Callithrix jacchus: one gene and its partners. The protein of the gene in region 2 interacts with the protein of the main gene of each other region in a biochemical or structural test. Links are inferred from orthologs where the notes say so. Each region holds a gene or a part of one and is shown on either strand. Other genes may lie near its edges.

Region 1 (4,135 bases), on a different chromosome or scaffold from region 2:
TTCCCATCTTCCACAGGTCTCATTTCCTCTTTTCCCCCTTTCCCTTCTGAACCATGGCTCTGAAACCCAAGCCTTCAGCTGTCTGGCTAGGGTTCTCCCACCAGTCATGCCCAGTTCCCAAACCTCCCCATCCCCATCCCGCCCAAGCTACCTTGAACCTCTTGTCCTGGAGAACCTTCTTGATGGCGACCAGTTCCCTGGTCTCTGCCAGCCGTGCCTGGTACACGACCCCAAATGAGCCATTGCCAATCACTTTGATGTCTGTGTAAGCCACCTCTTGGGAGCGCTCTGGGCCTTGGCCTAGAGTGGCTACCACTGTGGTCACCTTCCCGCTGTCACCTGGGGAACAAAGGGGATACACGATCCACTGACCCATCCTGTCTGCACATCGCCCCATCCTGGGGCTGTGGGAGGAAGGGAAATCTCCACAGGAAGCTTGTTGGGGACCTCTTTGTCCCTTCCTCCTCTTTGAGGAGAGGTGGATGCTGGAACTTCCCAGTGACTTTTCCCCTCTTCCTTTCTGGGAAACTTAAATCCTGCCTCTCCTCCACATGGGAGGATATTGATACGTAAACCTCTCTGCTTCAAGGGTTGTCAACCCCAAATTTCTACTTCTAGGAAGCAACAGATCACTGGTCCATCTTGGTACTGGGAGACACCAGATGTTGACTCCATCCACTCTGATCTTCTGCCCTCTGGCCCCTCATATTTGGAGAAAGCTTGACTCAACCTCATCCACTTAAGGGAGCAGAAACCCTGAGTTACTCCTACTTTAGGAAAGCACTAGTCTTTCTCACAGCCTAGAGGATACTGACCTCTAAGTCCTCCCCTGTAGAGCTGTTAACTTCACTGGTTCTTGGTGACAGAAATGAATGTCCTCTCCTGGTATACGTAGCAGTGCCTTGACCCTCACTTTTTGGTACTTTGAGATTAGAAAAAACACTGACCTGACCTCTTCATCTGTGTGGTCCACAGCCCCAGACCCCTCCCTGTATGTGGGTGGTCCCTAATGGACAAGTACCAGATTATGAGAATGATAAACCTGACTTCTATTATCAAGGGGCTAGTCCAGCCTCAGTCCTTTGAAGGAAAGCTACAATTCTCAATTCCCATTATTCAGATGGTAGCAAACCCTGGTGCCATTCTTAGGGGTCTTTGAATAACTGATGAACCAAATCCTTTTTTTTTTTTTTTTTTTGAGACAGAGTTTTGCTTTTGTTGCCTAGGCTGGAATGCAATGGTGCAATCTCAGCTCACTGCAACCTCTGCGCCCTGAGTTCAAGCAATTCTCCTGCCTCAGCCTCCCAAGTAGCTGGGATTACAGGCGCCTGCCACGACGCCCAGCTTATTTTTGTATTTTTAGTAGAGACGGGGTTTCACCATATTGGCCAGGCTGGTCTTGAACTCCTGACCTCAGGTGATCCATCCACCTCGGCCTCCCAAAGTGCTGAGATAACAGGCGTGAACCACCACGCCCAGCCACCAAATCCATTTTGAGGGGCCAGAGACATGTTCTTTCAGAGGGAGATAACCCTACATCACTATTTTTTTTTTCAGAGCCAATGACACCATACCCTAGAACATTTATTAAAGAAGTAAAACCTTAGATCCATAGTCTATAGGAAACTGTGAACCACCCTGCTCCATTCCATTTTTGTTAAAGAAGACACACCAAGCCATGTATTTTAAAATATGGACTATGGACTTGGTTTGAAGGATATGCTGACTCCCAATGTCTTTATATCGAAGAAGCAATACCTATTAATTCTCACCACTGGGGTACAGCTCAACATATTTAGGGTGGGTAATGATGCCAAGTCTTGATGTTAATAGGGAAGATGATCTGAGTACCAGGTTTGGAAAGCCCTGGCCCTATTTTTTGGGGACACAACACAGTAACCTCAAAGCCCTGATTTTAAGTGATATTCACTCCAAATCCCCATCTTCTGAAGGACAGCAAATGCAGATCCCTCTTTTTCGGGGTATTGTCTTATTCCTGTTCTCTTAGGAGACAATAGCTCCCCATTTGCAAGCGACTATGACCTCTGATCCAGTTTTCTAATGAACAGCAACGTAAGATACCTGTTCTTAAGGCTCAAGGGCCCAAGACCTCAATAATGGAAGAACACGGACTTGTAACTCGTTTCTTTAAGTGTTAATAATTCTGATCCCAGAGTAATTCTGACATCCAAGAGATGGTAACCCCAAGACCCCTTTTTCTGGGAGGGAGAGGGCTCGGATCTTCGGTTTAGGGAGGCACAGTGACCTCGAGCTCCTATCTAAGCATATGAAAGAACCTGACGGATGTCTGAGGAGCTTTAGGAACCCTGATCACCACCTACACAGGCGCCGCTAGTACTCACGGCCCAGCTTCACCCCGGGCGGCGGGAAGCTAGTGCCTGCGCCGGGGCCTCCGCTGCCTCCTCCGCCGCTGCCGCCGGGTCCACCCCCGGAGCTCGATGCCCCGACGCCCCCACCCATGGCCCCGACAGACGTCTTCCCGCCGCCGGTGCCGCCTGGGCCGGAGGCCGAGCCTCCTGGGCCGCCGCCGCCGCCTCCGCCTCCGCCGCCTGGCTCCGCAAACGAACTGGTCCGCGCCCTGCCCGAGCCCCCAGGGCCGCCTCCCGAAGGCCCGCCGCCGCTCATGGCGCCGAGCGCAGGCCCAGGCCGCGGGGCTCGGGCTGCCTGGGCTGCCCCAGCCGCCGCTGCTGCCGCCGCCTCCCCCGGGCTCTGGCCTCTTCCAGGCCGCGCCGCTCGGGCTTGGGCTCCGGCTCCGGCCCAGCGCCCGCCGCGGGGCACGCCGGGAGATGCAGTCCGGCTGTCGTCCGCGCCGCCGTCACCGCCCTCGGCCCGCACGGAGAGCCGCGTGGCACGCCGGGAAATGAAGTCCACAAAAGCCTCAAAGTACCACGGGAATGACAGGTCGCGCTGTACGTCGGGAAATGGAGTCCAGGGTAATCTGGCAGCCGACTGTACGACGGGGAGCCCTGAAGGACTTTGGGAAGCAGAGAGCCTGATGCCGCTGGGAAACGGAGTCCACTCACTCAGTCTATTGGTTGTGTATGCGTCCCAGAGCCCGGTGCGCTCTGGGAAATTGAGTCGGCGCGCGTGAACCTGCGGCTCTCCGGCCGTGAAGCAAGCCGGGAAATGGAGTCGTCGCCACGCCCTCACCGCATTGCAGGTGTAAAGAGATTTTTAGAGCACGCCGGGAAACGGAGTCCCAGTTGGTTTCCAAGCCCCAAGTGGCTACTGCAGTTCCGGAGATCGGCGAGGAAATGGCGTAGGTTTCGCGCTCCCCTTCCCAGGTACGCTAGGCCGCAGTACCTGCCGGGAAGTGTAGTCAACACCAAGGCTCTTAGAGCAGTAGCCACAGAGAGCCCTGGTGTGTTCTGGGAAATGAAGTTCCAGGCATCCTCCCCATTGACTGAGGGGGCGGGATCGCCTAAGAGTTCCAAGCGTGCTGGGGAATAGTCCAGACCTGACCTTTTGTAAGGCCAGTCTGCAGAGGCTTGCCGGGAAGCGGAGTCCAATGGCGACGATTGGGGGCGTGTGAGCAAAATTTAGAGGCTGCAGCAGTTCCCTGGAGAGACTTAAAAGTGTTTCAGCGCCTTCTTCCTCGCCCCAGGTCCTTCTTTACGAAAAAGCCGAGGTCGGTCAAGGACTGCTGGAAAATGGAGCCAAGCACCTTTAAGTTCCAGGTGATCATAGATCAAGAAAGAAAAAATGTCCCCTCTCTTGCCCCCCCACCCCCACAACTGTGCAAAGGATTCAGGAAAGAAAGTTTTCTGCGGTTTCTCAGAACACGAGCCGTCGGATACAGTCTAGCTTTTCCTAGCAATGTGGTTAGCACCAGAAAGCTTATTGGAACATTAAAAAGATTGAAATATAATTTCTGGGCCTGGCGAGATGGCTCACGCCTGTAATCCCACCACTTTGGGAGGCCAAAATGGGCGGATCACCTGATGTCAGGAGTTCGAGACCAGCCTGGCCAACATGGCAAAACCCCGTCTCTACTAAAAATACAAAAATTAGCCGGGCGTGGCGGCGGGTGCCTATAATCCCAGGTACTCAGGAGGCTGAGGCAGGAGAATCGCTTGAACCCGGGAGGCGGAGGTTGCGTGAGCCGAGATCGCGC
Region 2 (3,511 bases):
GGAATCCTATAGGGATAAAGTACCTATTAGCAAAATGGAATAAGGTGTTTGAGGATAGAGCTGCAGTGTGTTGAGAATAAGATATGGGAAGGCCTATATACGAGGGGTGGACTTTTCTTCTGTAAGTGTCGGGAGACCAGGCCTCCTGAAGAGGGCATGGGGGCTTAACCTACCTGGACTACTGTGTTTACAATACTCATTTATCTTGAACGCCTTCTAACCCCTAGGAATTGCTACATTTAATATTTACTGAGTACCTAGCATGCTAGGAAATCAATAGAACATTCTCCCAACCAGGCCGGGTGCGGTGGCTTGCGTCTGTAATCCCAGCACTTTGGGAGGATAAGACAAGCAGATCACTTGAGGCCAGGAGCGCGAGACCAGCCTGGCCAATGTGGTAAAACCCTGTCTCTACTAAAAATACAAAAGTTAGCCAGGTGAGGTGGTACACATCTGTAATCTCAGCTACTCAGCTACTCGGGAGGAGTAGGAGGCAAGAGAATTGCTACTGAGGCAAAAGAACTGCTTAAACCTGGGAGGTGGAGGTTGCAGTGAGCTGAGATCATGGCACTGAACCCTAGCCCGAGCGACAAAGTGAGTGAGACTCCGTCTTAAAAAAAAAAATTCTCCTAACCTGGCTTCTTCCTCCAGGGGTGTAATTGATCATGTCAGTTTCCTCATTGATACACACACACACACACACACACACAGAGTACAATCCTGTATCCATGATTTTTCAAGGAACATTTGCTATTTATGTTTGGGGTCCTTGTCTCTTTTTTTAATGGTGTTTCTTAAAGTATTGTATTATATCAGAGTACAGTAACATCCCAGTCAAGAGCACTGTAGTAAACTCCAGGAGGAAAGCGTCTTCTAGAAGGCAGTGGAGACCTGGCTCGTCGGGGTGGCGTAGGGGCAGCCCCTGCCTCTGGTCAGTCCTGACGCTCAGGCTCAGGGTTGCCTCTGGCTGATCTTCCCGGAGACTGATCAAGGTCTCCCATAAGACACCTACAGAGCCTGTGAGAAGCAGAGACACCAGTTGATTCGCGCAGGATCCACTGATTTAACCACCTGCCATGTGGCAGGCACTGTGGTGGATGTAGGAACAGGGATTGCAGGAGCTTTAAGCGTGGCCAGCGTCAGGCTGGAGGTGCTGCTGCGCTGGAACCGGGCCTGTCAGGGAGGAGGCCATGGCAACCACCCTGTCTCCGACTGGGTCAGGCCCACGTGTTACCTGTGCGTCCATGACTGCACCTTCCTCCCTCGCCTCATCCAAATCTCTTTCTTTTCCAAGCCCCCAAATCCTTCAGGGCTGCAGGTTTTGTTTAAAGCAGAGCTGTTGAGTTGCATGTTGTTGTACTGGGACAAGGTGGGGTATTCAAAGAGTTGGGAGTTAAAAAAAAAAACATCAAGGGTGCTTATTAGGAGAACCAAGGAGTGTAATCCTCCTGTTCTTAACACGCAGCCACATTAATGAATGTCACATGAATGAGCCAGAAAAAAATGAAGTGTGCCCTTAATCAGCTGGATTGGCGAGCAGCAAGCTGTGTGACCAGGGCACGGTGGTGGTCCTGAGGGCCATCACTGTCTGCCGTGCAGAGCCCTTCCTCCCAAACGGGCTGACCTCAGCTGTGCAGGGGGCTTGTCTGCGGTCAGTGGCCCCGGTAGATCTGAATGGGTCTTCTTTTTTGAGGAGTCTTGTGGCAGGTCAGTCGGTAAAGACTTCGTTCTTGACGATCACACATTTTGGATTTTCCGAATCTGTCAGACACTGTGCTTGAGGTAGAGTTTGTGGGCACCGGTTTCACTCGTTTCATTTACCAAAAAAGGGAGCAGAAGTCAAATATGGTGGCTCATGCCTGTAACCCCCAAGGCAGGAGAATTGCTTGAGCCCGGGAGTTCAAGACCAGCCTGAGCAACATAAGGAGACCCCATCTCTACAGTAATAAAAAATAATATATTAGCCATACATGGTGGCGTGCATCTGTGGGCCCAACTACTCGGGAGGCTGAGACGGGAGGATCGTTTGAGCCCGGGAGTTTAAAGCTGCACTGAGCTGTGACTGCACGACTGCACCACTGCACTCCCGCCTGGGTGACAGAGTGAGACCATGTATCAAAAAAAAAAAGGTGGCAGGGGGAAGAGTGAAAGGTAGGGAGAGGAAAGGGGAGTCTCACTACACCCAAGCCAGGTACCATCTAGAGGCTAGAATCTTTGGGACACTCAGATTTTCTAGAATGTTGGAGACACTTCTGTAGCTCTCCTGCTTTCGCAGTGATTAAGCCTAGGCTGGCTCCAGATGTGTGACATACTCTATGCCCAACTGGAGCCCATCACAGGCAGAGGAATAACACCCATATCAGAAGGGGCCTCGGAGGTCACCACATCCAAGACTCCCCTTTACAGATGAGGTGACAGTCCCAGAGAGGGCAGGGGCTCACCCAGTGCCACCCAGCGAGCTGGTGGCAGCTAGACCAGGAGAGCTGTCATTCCCAGCACCAAAGGCAATGAGATGAGCCCAGAGCCATGCTCCTATCTCTTTGTCAGGGGACCTGTGATGCCCTTTCAATGTCATTTTGTCCAGGATGATGCTCCCTCTCTTAAGCAATTGATGTGACCTTGCTAACCTTTTGCTATCGCTGCCTCTTCAAACCAGAGGAGTTGAGAGTTCCGGGCCAGCAGAGGAAGGCACCTGAAAGGCCCCGGGTCAATGAGCTTAGCGCTTATGTCCAGCCTGGACCCTGCAGAGTGGCCCCTGGGGTCTCTGGGCCGTGCCTGAGGGAGAAAAAGTCGGAAGTTCCTGTCCCATTGACTGCAAGCCTTCCTCAGCACCGTCCTGTTTGCCCAGCACCTCCTCCAACAGGAGGCCCTCAGGAGCCCTCCCAGGAGTGGGGACCAAAAGGCGGGAACTGGACCGAGGAGGGTCCGGCCTTTCTGAAGCCCGCTGCCCCTGCATATCTCCACATGGAGCCTGAGAGTGGTAAGATGGTCCAGGAAGGCTTCCTCAGAGAGCCAGGCACCCCAAGCCTGAGCCACCAACTCGTGTCTGGCATGCCTGGGGCTCCCTTCCTGCCTGAGAGCCGCAGAGAGGCCACACACCAGCCTTTGGGGACAGGACCTGAGGACACAAAGGGTGGCTGCCATGCCCCTGAGCTGCTGAAGCGCCAGCTTCTGGGAGATCTGCACCCGGAGGAGCTGCCACTGAAGGGGACCGGGAGCAAAGAGAGGCCGGGGGACGAGAAGGAGGTGGATGAAGACCGAGACGTTGATGAGTCCTCCCCACAGGACTCCCCTCCCTCCCAGGTCTCCCCAGTCCGAGATGGACCACCTCCCCAGACATTCACCAGAGAAGCCACCAGTGTCCCAGGCTTCCCAGCAGAAGGCACCATCCCCCTCCCAGTCGATTTCCTCTCCAAAGTTTCTGCAGAGACCCCGGCCTCAGAGCCTGACGGGCCCAGTGCAGGGCTGGCTGAAGGGCAGGACGTGCCCCCCGAGTTCACGTTCCACGTAG
Region 3 (4,018 bases), on a different chromosome or scaffold from region 2:
CCCGTCTCTACTAAAAATACAAAAAATTAGCTGGGCGTGGTGGCACCAGCCTGTAGTCCCAGCTACTCTGGAGCCTGAGGCACAAGAATCGTTTGAACCTGGGAGGCACAGGTTGCAGTGAGCAGAGATCGTGTGACTGCGCTCCAACCTAGGTGGCAAGAGCAAAAACGCCATTTCAAAACAAAAACAACAACAACAAAACAAAAAAAGAGGCTCCAGTAAACAGTAAATACCATTCTCAACTATTCTGAAAATTTTTGCAAATTTTTTTTTATTATCGCTGGAAAACAGCTGGGTTTTAAACTACATTTTAGTCTCTATTCCATGAAGAGGCTCTTTTAATCCCTAAAGTCAAAACATTACTCTAAAACCCTCAAGAGTTGACGGAACAATGTATTTCTATCTCGTCACCTTGTATCCTCATTACCACTATTTGTATCCACCAATATTCCACACCAAAAAAGGCCACAATTTCTCTGATGTTAAAATTTACTGATAAACTCAACAGGTTAAAATTACTTATCAAAGTGTGGCTAAGTGATTAAGCTCTCTTTTAATAAAACTGAGCTGAGTAAATTTTAACATGGTGGTGCTCAAACTGCCTCTGCCACTATCTATACAAATTTAGTTTGGACTGAAAAGTGACAAACATGACCATTCACTAAAGGAAAGAGTAATTAACACTTTTAAAAGAACTACAAAGGATTTTACATAGTATAATTCAACAATTTCGTATCATATCTGCTGACGAGATCACAAACATTGTCACTATGCCATGTCCTTCCTGGAACCCCACTGGCTCCTGCAGCTTTATTCTTGACTTTTTCAAAGGTTTAAACCACTTGGGGCTGCTGAAGGAGGTATCAAGGAAGCATAATTTGTGAACCCAAGCTGAGAAAAGGGCAGGAATATGGGGTTGAGTCACGTCGTTCCGCCATTTTCTAAGCGGAGGAGGAAGACATGTTGGAACAAAAACACAACAAAAGAGCAGCCATTTCCCAAGCCAGCTCCAATAGCAACCCGAAATGACACTGCCCTGTCGCTTCGCCACCTTCAAATCCACTTCACTGAGCAAACCTCTGAACACCAGACATGCCGCCGTAAAAAAGGCAGCAGTCAAACCTTCCGCGTAGAGATCAAAGATGACCTGCACACTTTACTGCAAATGAAAGCCTCGGGAAGAGGGAGAAATGACGGAAGCGAAATGGGACACAGTGTAATACAATGAAATTTTAAACTAAGTTAGCAAACTGAAATTTACTCAGTGATTGCGATAACTGACTTACAGGAAGCCACTAGCTGTAGGGAACCCAGGTAACTGAAACACCAAGACCTGGATTCAGCTGGTCTCCTTACCTGCCTCTACCCACTTCCCCATTCCGTGCTTCCCTCAGCAGACCGCCTATATGCACAGGGTTCTTACCGTATGTGGGGGATGCCAACCCCACCTTGAAGAATCTTATAGAGCTTGCTCTCGTACAGCAACTGGGGATGCCTGGCCTTCTGAGATTCTAGCTTCACTGCCACTTCCTGCAGGGGAAAGAGGGATGATGGCATCAACATCCCTACGGATTCAATGTCACTTAGGAAAGGAGGGAGAGACATTAGCAAAACTCCAAGTCGCGACTACAGGGAAAAAGCGAAAGACTGGAAAGAGAAAGCTCTCTGTAATTATAAAATGAGGCAACCAGCCTCTTCAGGGGGTAGTGACGAAATCCCTACCTCTTCTAAAGTGCAGGAAAATGATTCATCCAGAAAAAAAGAGGCAACCTCTGAACGTAATGAGAGGTTTTTAAGGAACTAGGCGATCGGAAACTGTTCTAATTGGAATAAGAGGCCAGCAGAATTAAAAATAAAATAAAATAAAAGCATGGGAATCACAGAAATAGGATTTTGCCGTTTCCACCTTAAAAAACGGTTAAAAAAAAAAAAGTTCAACTAAGGGACATTTATGGGACGTGTTTAACAAGCTGGGAACCTTCCCCAACCTTTCTATCGGGTTCTTGATCCTTTTAGGGAAAGAGCGGGGGAGGTTCAAAAGCCAGGAAAACTAGCTCTCTGGACTCCCTGACGAGTGCGTGCGGTGGGGAGAGGCCCAAGCACTTTAGGGGTGCGCGGTGGTGGGGGCGGGGAATGAGGAAATGCCCAGCGTTATCGTCAACCCTACCCCAGGTGATTACCTCGCCGTTGGTGATGTTGATCGCCAGATAGATGTCCCCGAAGGAGCCAGACCCGATCTTCCGTACCAGTTTGTATTTCCCTCCGACAATGAATTCGGCCTTGGAGCCGCTGCTGCTCGCCATCCTGAGAGACGAAGATGGAGGCTGGGGCCAAGCCCCGACACCTCTGAGGGGAAGACGGAGACCTCTCGAGCTCCTACACCGGGCAAGGCTACGGAGGAAGGCAGCAGGAAACGGAACACAGAGGCCTTTACCGGCGTTCGGGGCCCAGAATCAGCCGAGGGGAACCTGATCACCACCGCTCAGTCAGGTTTCTTTTTGCCAGGCCGCACTTTGTGAAGGGCTTCTCGCGGCTACCAGGCTGGGCCACTTGTTCTCGTTGGCGGCCGATGCCTGCTTGAGCGGCGACGTCGCGGGCAGGAAAAGGGGCGCGGTGAGCTAGGGCGGCGATACCACTGCCAGCACTGCTGCTGGCTCCGGCCCGGAGGGACCCCTGTCACTCCGCCGACGACGCCATCTTGTTACTCCAGCTCCAGCCAACACAAAATGCCCCCAGTCCCCGGGAGCCGCTTCTTCACGGCGCAGAGCACTCTGGGAAAGGGATCTCGGGCGCTCGCTCCGGAGGATCTGCAGCCAGAGGGAGGGCGGAACCGGATCCGTGAGAGTCGCGGCCCACGCTCCAAGCGTCACCTCGTCACCGCCCAGCTGCGCATGAGCACTGTAACTCCTGCTGACTGCGCAGGCGTGCCGCGGCTGGTACTCACCCCGCCCCAGGCTCTCTTCCACTTCCGGTTGGCGGCTGTTCAGCCGGTGCTACCTGTTACCACGGACCCGCCCGGACCCGCCCGGTCTCTGGAAGGCTGAGTGGCCTCAGGCACCGATGTCAGGGAGAAGTCACCTTCCCGTTTCCTAACAGATAAAAGCTTCAGGCCTCCTTAGGAGTTTGGTATTGACCTTTGCTCTTTGTTTCAGGAGGTTTTTTTTTTTTTTTTTTTGAGACGGAGTTTCACTCTTGTTACCCAGGCTGGAGTGCAATGGCGCGATCTCGGCTCACCGCAGCCTCCGCCTCCTGGGTTCAAGCAATTCTCCTGCCTCAGCCTCCCGAGTAGCTGGGATTACAGGCCCACGCCACTATGCCCAGCCAATTTTTTTTTTTGTACTTTTAGTAGAGACAGGGTTTCACCATGTTGACCAGGATGGTCTCGATCTCTTGACCTCGTGATCCACCCGCCTCGGCCTCCCAAAGTGCTGGGATTATAGGTATGAGCCACCGCGCCCGGCCTGTTTCAGGCGGTTTTTAATCTTTGATCTTCTGGCCGCTCCCCCCGACCGGCCTATTGCAACCAAGTTTCTGTTTGGAAAGAGGCTATCGCCTCTGGTGGAGAAGAAGAGAAAAGCAGCCCGCGTATCGGGCTGATCGAATCGTTCAGGGCTCTCGGTTGTAGCAAAGCCCAGCTAATTACCCTTCATAAATAGAACTGTGTTCTCTACTACGGAGTGTTAGAGACCCTGTTTGCTCAGGAGGGGAAAAAAGAAGCCGGAATCCTCCTACCGTCCTTTGTCTTTGCATTATTGCCCCACTACCACATTTGATCTTCATGAGAAAACCGGGTATCTTGCCATAATGAAGATTAGTAATAGGTGGAATCAACAGAAAATTAACAAGAGTGAAAAAACTGTTCTAGCCCTCCTCCCAATCCCACCAAAAAAACGAAAAAAAAAAAAAGAATCATATGTTGGTCATATGGAAAACCTCAATATTAACCTTAACATATAGCAGAGGTAACTGTCGCAAAACATAATTGACAACATTTAAAACCATATGGTAGCCAGGGGCA
Region 4 (4,144 bases), on a different chromosome or scaffold from region 2:
AGTCTGATTTATTTAGAAGCCGAAGGAAAAAAAAATCTCTTTTGACAAATACAGAAAGTTTCACAAGTGATTGACACTCTGGTGTGATTATTTCAAGGTATAGTAGTGGTACAATATTCTTCTCTAGGAGTTCATCTTAAAATTATTAGAAAGTCAATGGGGGCTCTGCACAGGGTTCACGCCTGTAATCCTAGCACTTTGAGGGACTGAGGTGGGCGGATCACTTGGGGCCAGGAGTTCCAGACTAGCCTGGTCAACATGGCGAAACCCCATCTCTACTAAAATCAGCGCATGGTGGTGGGCACCTCTAATCCCAGCTACTCGGGAGGCTGAGGCAGGAGGATTCCTTGAACTCAGGAGACGGAAGCTGCAGTGAGCAGAGATGGCACCACTACACTCCAACCTGGGTGAGAGAGTGACATTCTGTCTCAAAAACAAAACAACAAAAAAAGAAAGTCAATGGGAAAAACAGATTCAAATAACACTTTGCCCATAACTTCAAGTCTGCATTCTGATGTTCATAGCAAGGTTAACTGACTCAGCTCATTTCAAACCTGTACAATTCACTTCACATTAGAGCTTGAGAAAGATATTTAAAGTATAAATTTTAAGACACAATAAAATGAATGTTTACTGAAGCCACAAGTAAGCAGTTTGTTTCAGAAAAAGAAAAATACCACTTGCTTGGCACTTCTATTTACAAAAATAAATTCTTCGGTGTTAACCAATAGTTACTTAATACATAAAGGTCTCAGGCAACATTATACCCGTTAAAAACACTATTTTAACTTAACACTATTAGTGCTTCTTTTCTAAGTAAATTTCATGATTTTAAGAATGTCCTAAAATAAGACTAACAAAAAATTGTCCTTTTCTTGTGTATTTCTGCAATATCATGATTTCTAAGCGTTATGGTTAAAAAAAAAAAAGTACAGATTATGTTAAAAATAAATAACCTCGTTACTTCATGGACTTCAAGTGGGAATTTTTAACATGAAAAATATTTAGTCCATCTTATAAAGGATAAATGTGGAAAATTAGACTTTAAAGATGGAGAGATGGAAATGATTCCAGGGGTTAAGACAACAAGGAATATAGTATTTATAAAGTGAAGATCACTTTACAAACTCATGAACGATGTACAAGAAAGAATTGACCACCTGCAGGCGTTATTCTTCGGAAAAGAAAAAACTTTATATTAAAATGGAGAATAATTGTCTGAAAAGTGCTATCATGCGTGAAAACGCACACCCCACCTCATTTCCAGCAAACACGGTTCCCAAACTCAAGACCCGCTCTCGTTTAGGAAAATCAATGCTTTACTTCCAAGAGCGAGTGAAGGCAAAGACCAGTCACCATCTGTTTCCACCAAAGTCAACCTCTATTTTAAAAATCGCAGCTGGCCATCACGCCTACCTCTCCACAAACAAACGCTTGACACATTAAAGAGCCAGTAATTTTTTTTTTTTTCTTTTTTCGGAGACAGGGTCTTGCTCTGTCGCTCAGGCTGGAGTACAGTGGCGCGACTTCAGCTAACTGCAGCCTCCACCTCCTGGATTCAAGCGAACCTCCGGCCTCAACCTCACGAATAGCTGGGATTACTGGCACCCGCCACCATGCCCCACTAATTTATTTTTTATTTTTTTTTTTGTGGAGACAGGGCCTCACTATGTTGACCAGGTTGGTCTCTTAACTCTTGGGCTCAAGCAATCCTCCCGCATTAGCCTCCCGAGTAGCTGTGACCACAGGCGTGAGTCACAGCACTTGTGAGTGATTTTTGAGGTGCCTCGTTCGCCTGACAAAAATTCTACATTAATTAACAAGTTCATTAGTAGGTACGACATTCTGGTTAATTTTAGGTGCATTTTCAGAGACAGCATTGCTCCTTTTCGGACGCCGCTCTCGGTAGCCCACTCGGGACATGCTGGAGTGGCAGGAACTCCCCAGGGGAGCGCAGGCAACCTGACCAACCTCAGGCTCGACTCCGGGGGGCGCGTTTCCCTTTCCGTCCACACCCGAGCCCCCACGCCCGGGATCTGGGCCGCCGGCCGCGGGCGTGGGGCGTGTCAGCGCCGAGGCAGAGGCGCCGGGCGAGGGCAGTCCAACGCTCCGGTCCCTGACCGGCCGGGCCCGCCGCCCGAATGGAGGCCGGGGCTGCAACCCCGCAGGCCCCCGGTGGGCCAAGCCGGGCCGGGAGCGGACGGGCCTGGGACGTGCAGGAAGGAAAGCGGCGGCCGCGGCCCATCCCAGCCCCGCGCTCTCGCACTCCCGCACTCGCCCCCGCGGCGCCCTCACCTTCTCGCACAGCGTCCGCACTTGGTTCTCGTTCAGCTGCTTACACTCGTTCAGCTGCTCGACCCACTGGTCCAGCTCCTTGGTGAACGCCTTGTCGTCCATGGCGGCCCGATCCCGATGCGGATCCCGAGCCCCTGCCCCGCAGCCGCCCTCCCCCCACCCCACCCGCCCCCGGCCCCGGCCCGGGCGCCGCTCCCCTCTCCCTCCGCCGCCGCCGCCAGATCCCACTGGGGGAAGACAGAGCTAGGGAGGGCGGCCGCGGGCCCCGCGCCCCGCCCAAGCCCAGAAGGCGGTTCCGAGCGCGCGGCCTGGAGGAGACCCCCGCCCGCCCTTTCTCGCCTGGCCGCGCGCCGCGCGAATAGGTGAAGGACGCGGGGAGGTGCCGGGGAGCGCGCCGCGGGTTCTCGGCCAACTCCCGCTGGACGAAGGCCGTCCGCCGCCACCTCACACCCGCCGGCCTCTACAGGCTATCTTTCCCCTTCTCTCGCTCTTTCTCTCCCCTCCCTCCAGGTTTCCGTCATCGCTCGGGCATTTCCGCCGGGAAAAGGCGAGCAGGCGGCACCGCCCGCCCACGGCGCACTAGGAGCAGAACAGCGCCCTCGCTTGGCCTGGCGGAGAAACGGTCTGAGGAGGCCGGGGTCCCTCCTCCTTTCTCAACCCTGCCCCAGACCAAGCTCTGCTGGTTCTCCCTTCAGATAGACTGATCTCTGGGAACTTTGTCCTCACTTTAGCTTCCTGCAGTACTTTTTCAGTGCTCTGGACAGGGAATTGGAAAACTTGGGCTCCCCTTAACATTGTTCCCCCCAGAGTCTAGCACTCAATAGCAGGCATTCAATATTGATGGAGTAAATAATTGATTATTTACAGCCGGGTCTGTAGTCCTAACATCTCGAATCCTTCCCTTCAACATTAGAAAAGTGAAATGGTTGTTCTGTAGGATAATCTGTGGCCCTTCCAGCTCTAGCGTTCTTGACTGCGTTTTCTGCAATATGTACTGAGGTTAATGATTTGTTCATTCAACAAATATTTATTGAGACAGAGGAGGGACCCCTTCTTAGGGGCCAGCTAGGCACCCCCCTCCCCAAGTATGGAAAGGAAAATCTTGAGTTCTCTCAAGGGACATTCCCGGCACCTAACTTCCTCGAGAAGTCAATGAGCAACCTGATAAGCAAGAAGGTAATAAAAGCTTAAGGCAGTAACCAAGGACGTTAGATTCACAAAATGTTTGGTTCCTTAAAGAAACTAAAGAGGACGATGTCCCTGAGTTGTTTTTTAGAAACCTGGACCCTCACCAAATGGAAAGTGCTGTCCACTGGCATGGAGACTTCAAACTATCTATCTTTGTTCTAAATTTCTTACTGAGGAGCCTGGAAAAATTCACAAAGCTTTGCCTCCTTAACCAGTTGCAAATCATAAAATCTTTGAATCCATCTATGACCTGTGGGTCCCTGCTTCAGATATCTTGGCTTTTTAGATCAAATTCATGTATAGTCTCCATGTATTGATTTATGACTTTGCCTGTAACCTCTGCCTCCCTGCCTTTAAAAACCCTTACCTGGGCTGGGCACAATGGCTCACGCCTATAATCCCAGCACTTTGGGAGGCTGAGGTGAGTGGATCATCTGAGATCAGGAGTTCAAGACCAGCCTGGCCAACATGGTGAAACCCGTTTCTACTAAAAATACGAAAATTAGCCAGGCATGGTAGCGGGCACCTGTAATAATCCCAGCTACTCGGGAGGTTGAGGCAGAAGAATCACTTGATACTGGAAGGCAGAGGTTGCCCCATGAGCCAAGATCTCACTATTGCACTCCAACCTGGTGACAAGAGTGAAAAAAAAAAAAAAGGA

Evidence for each region. The genes of interacting proteins can lie anywhere in the genome.
Region 1: of the proteins of MAPT (region 2) and GSK3A, one has a biochemical effect on the other in vitro, tested with the Homo sapiens proteins (4 studies listed by BioGRID and IntAct). The link is inferred for Callithrix jacchus from reciprocal best matches to the Homo sapiens genes MAPT and GSK3A.
Region 3: of the proteins of MAPT (region 2) and CSNK1A1, one has a biochemical effect on the other in vitro, tested with the Homo sapiens proteins (2 studies listed by BioGRID). The link is inferred for Callithrix jacchus from reciprocal best matches to the Homo sapiens genes MAPT and CSNK1A1.
Region 4: of the proteins of MAPT (region 2) and PPP2CB, one has a biochemical effect on the other in vitro, tested with the Homo sapiens proteins (2 studies listed by BioGRID). The link is inferred for Callithrix jacchus from reciprocal best matches to the Homo sapiens genes MAPT and PPP2CB.

Annotation. Positions count from the first base shown.
Region 1 is NC_133523.1:37,269,657-37,273,791, forward strand, and holds the start of GSK3A (glycogen synthase kinase-3 alpha), read right to left. Parts: upstream 2,812-4,135; 5' UTR 2,647-2,811; coding exon 2,364-2,646; intron 340-2,363; coding exon 152-339; intron 1-151. UniProt on the Homo sapiens protein: Constitutively active protein kinase that acts as a negative regulator in the hormonal control of glucose homeostasis, Wnt signaling and regulation of transcription factors and microtubules, by phosphorylating and inactivating glycogen synthase (GYS1 or GYS2), CTNNB1/beta-catenin, APC and AXIN1.
Region 2 is NC_133506.1:86,720,996-86,724,506, forward strand, and holds part of MAPT (microtubule-associated protein tau), read left to right. Parts: intron 1-2,656; coding exon 2,657-3,511. UniProt on the Homo sapiens protein: Promotes microtubule assembly and stability, and might be involved in the establishment and maintenance of neuronal polarity.
Region 3 is NC_133503.1:48,239,709-48,243,726, forward strand, and holds the start of CSNK1A1 (casein kinase I), read right to left. Parts: upstream 2,812-4,018; 5' UTR 2,304-2,811; coding exon 2,181-2,303; intron 1,531-2,180; coding exon 1,424-1,530; intron 1-1,423.
Region 4 is NC_133514.1:31,978,065-31,982,208, forward strand, and holds the start of PPP2CB (serine/threonine-protein phosphatase 2A catalytic subunit beta isoform), read right to left. Parts: upstream 2,812-4,144; 5' UTR 2,398-2,811; coding exon 2,296-2,397; intron 1-2,295.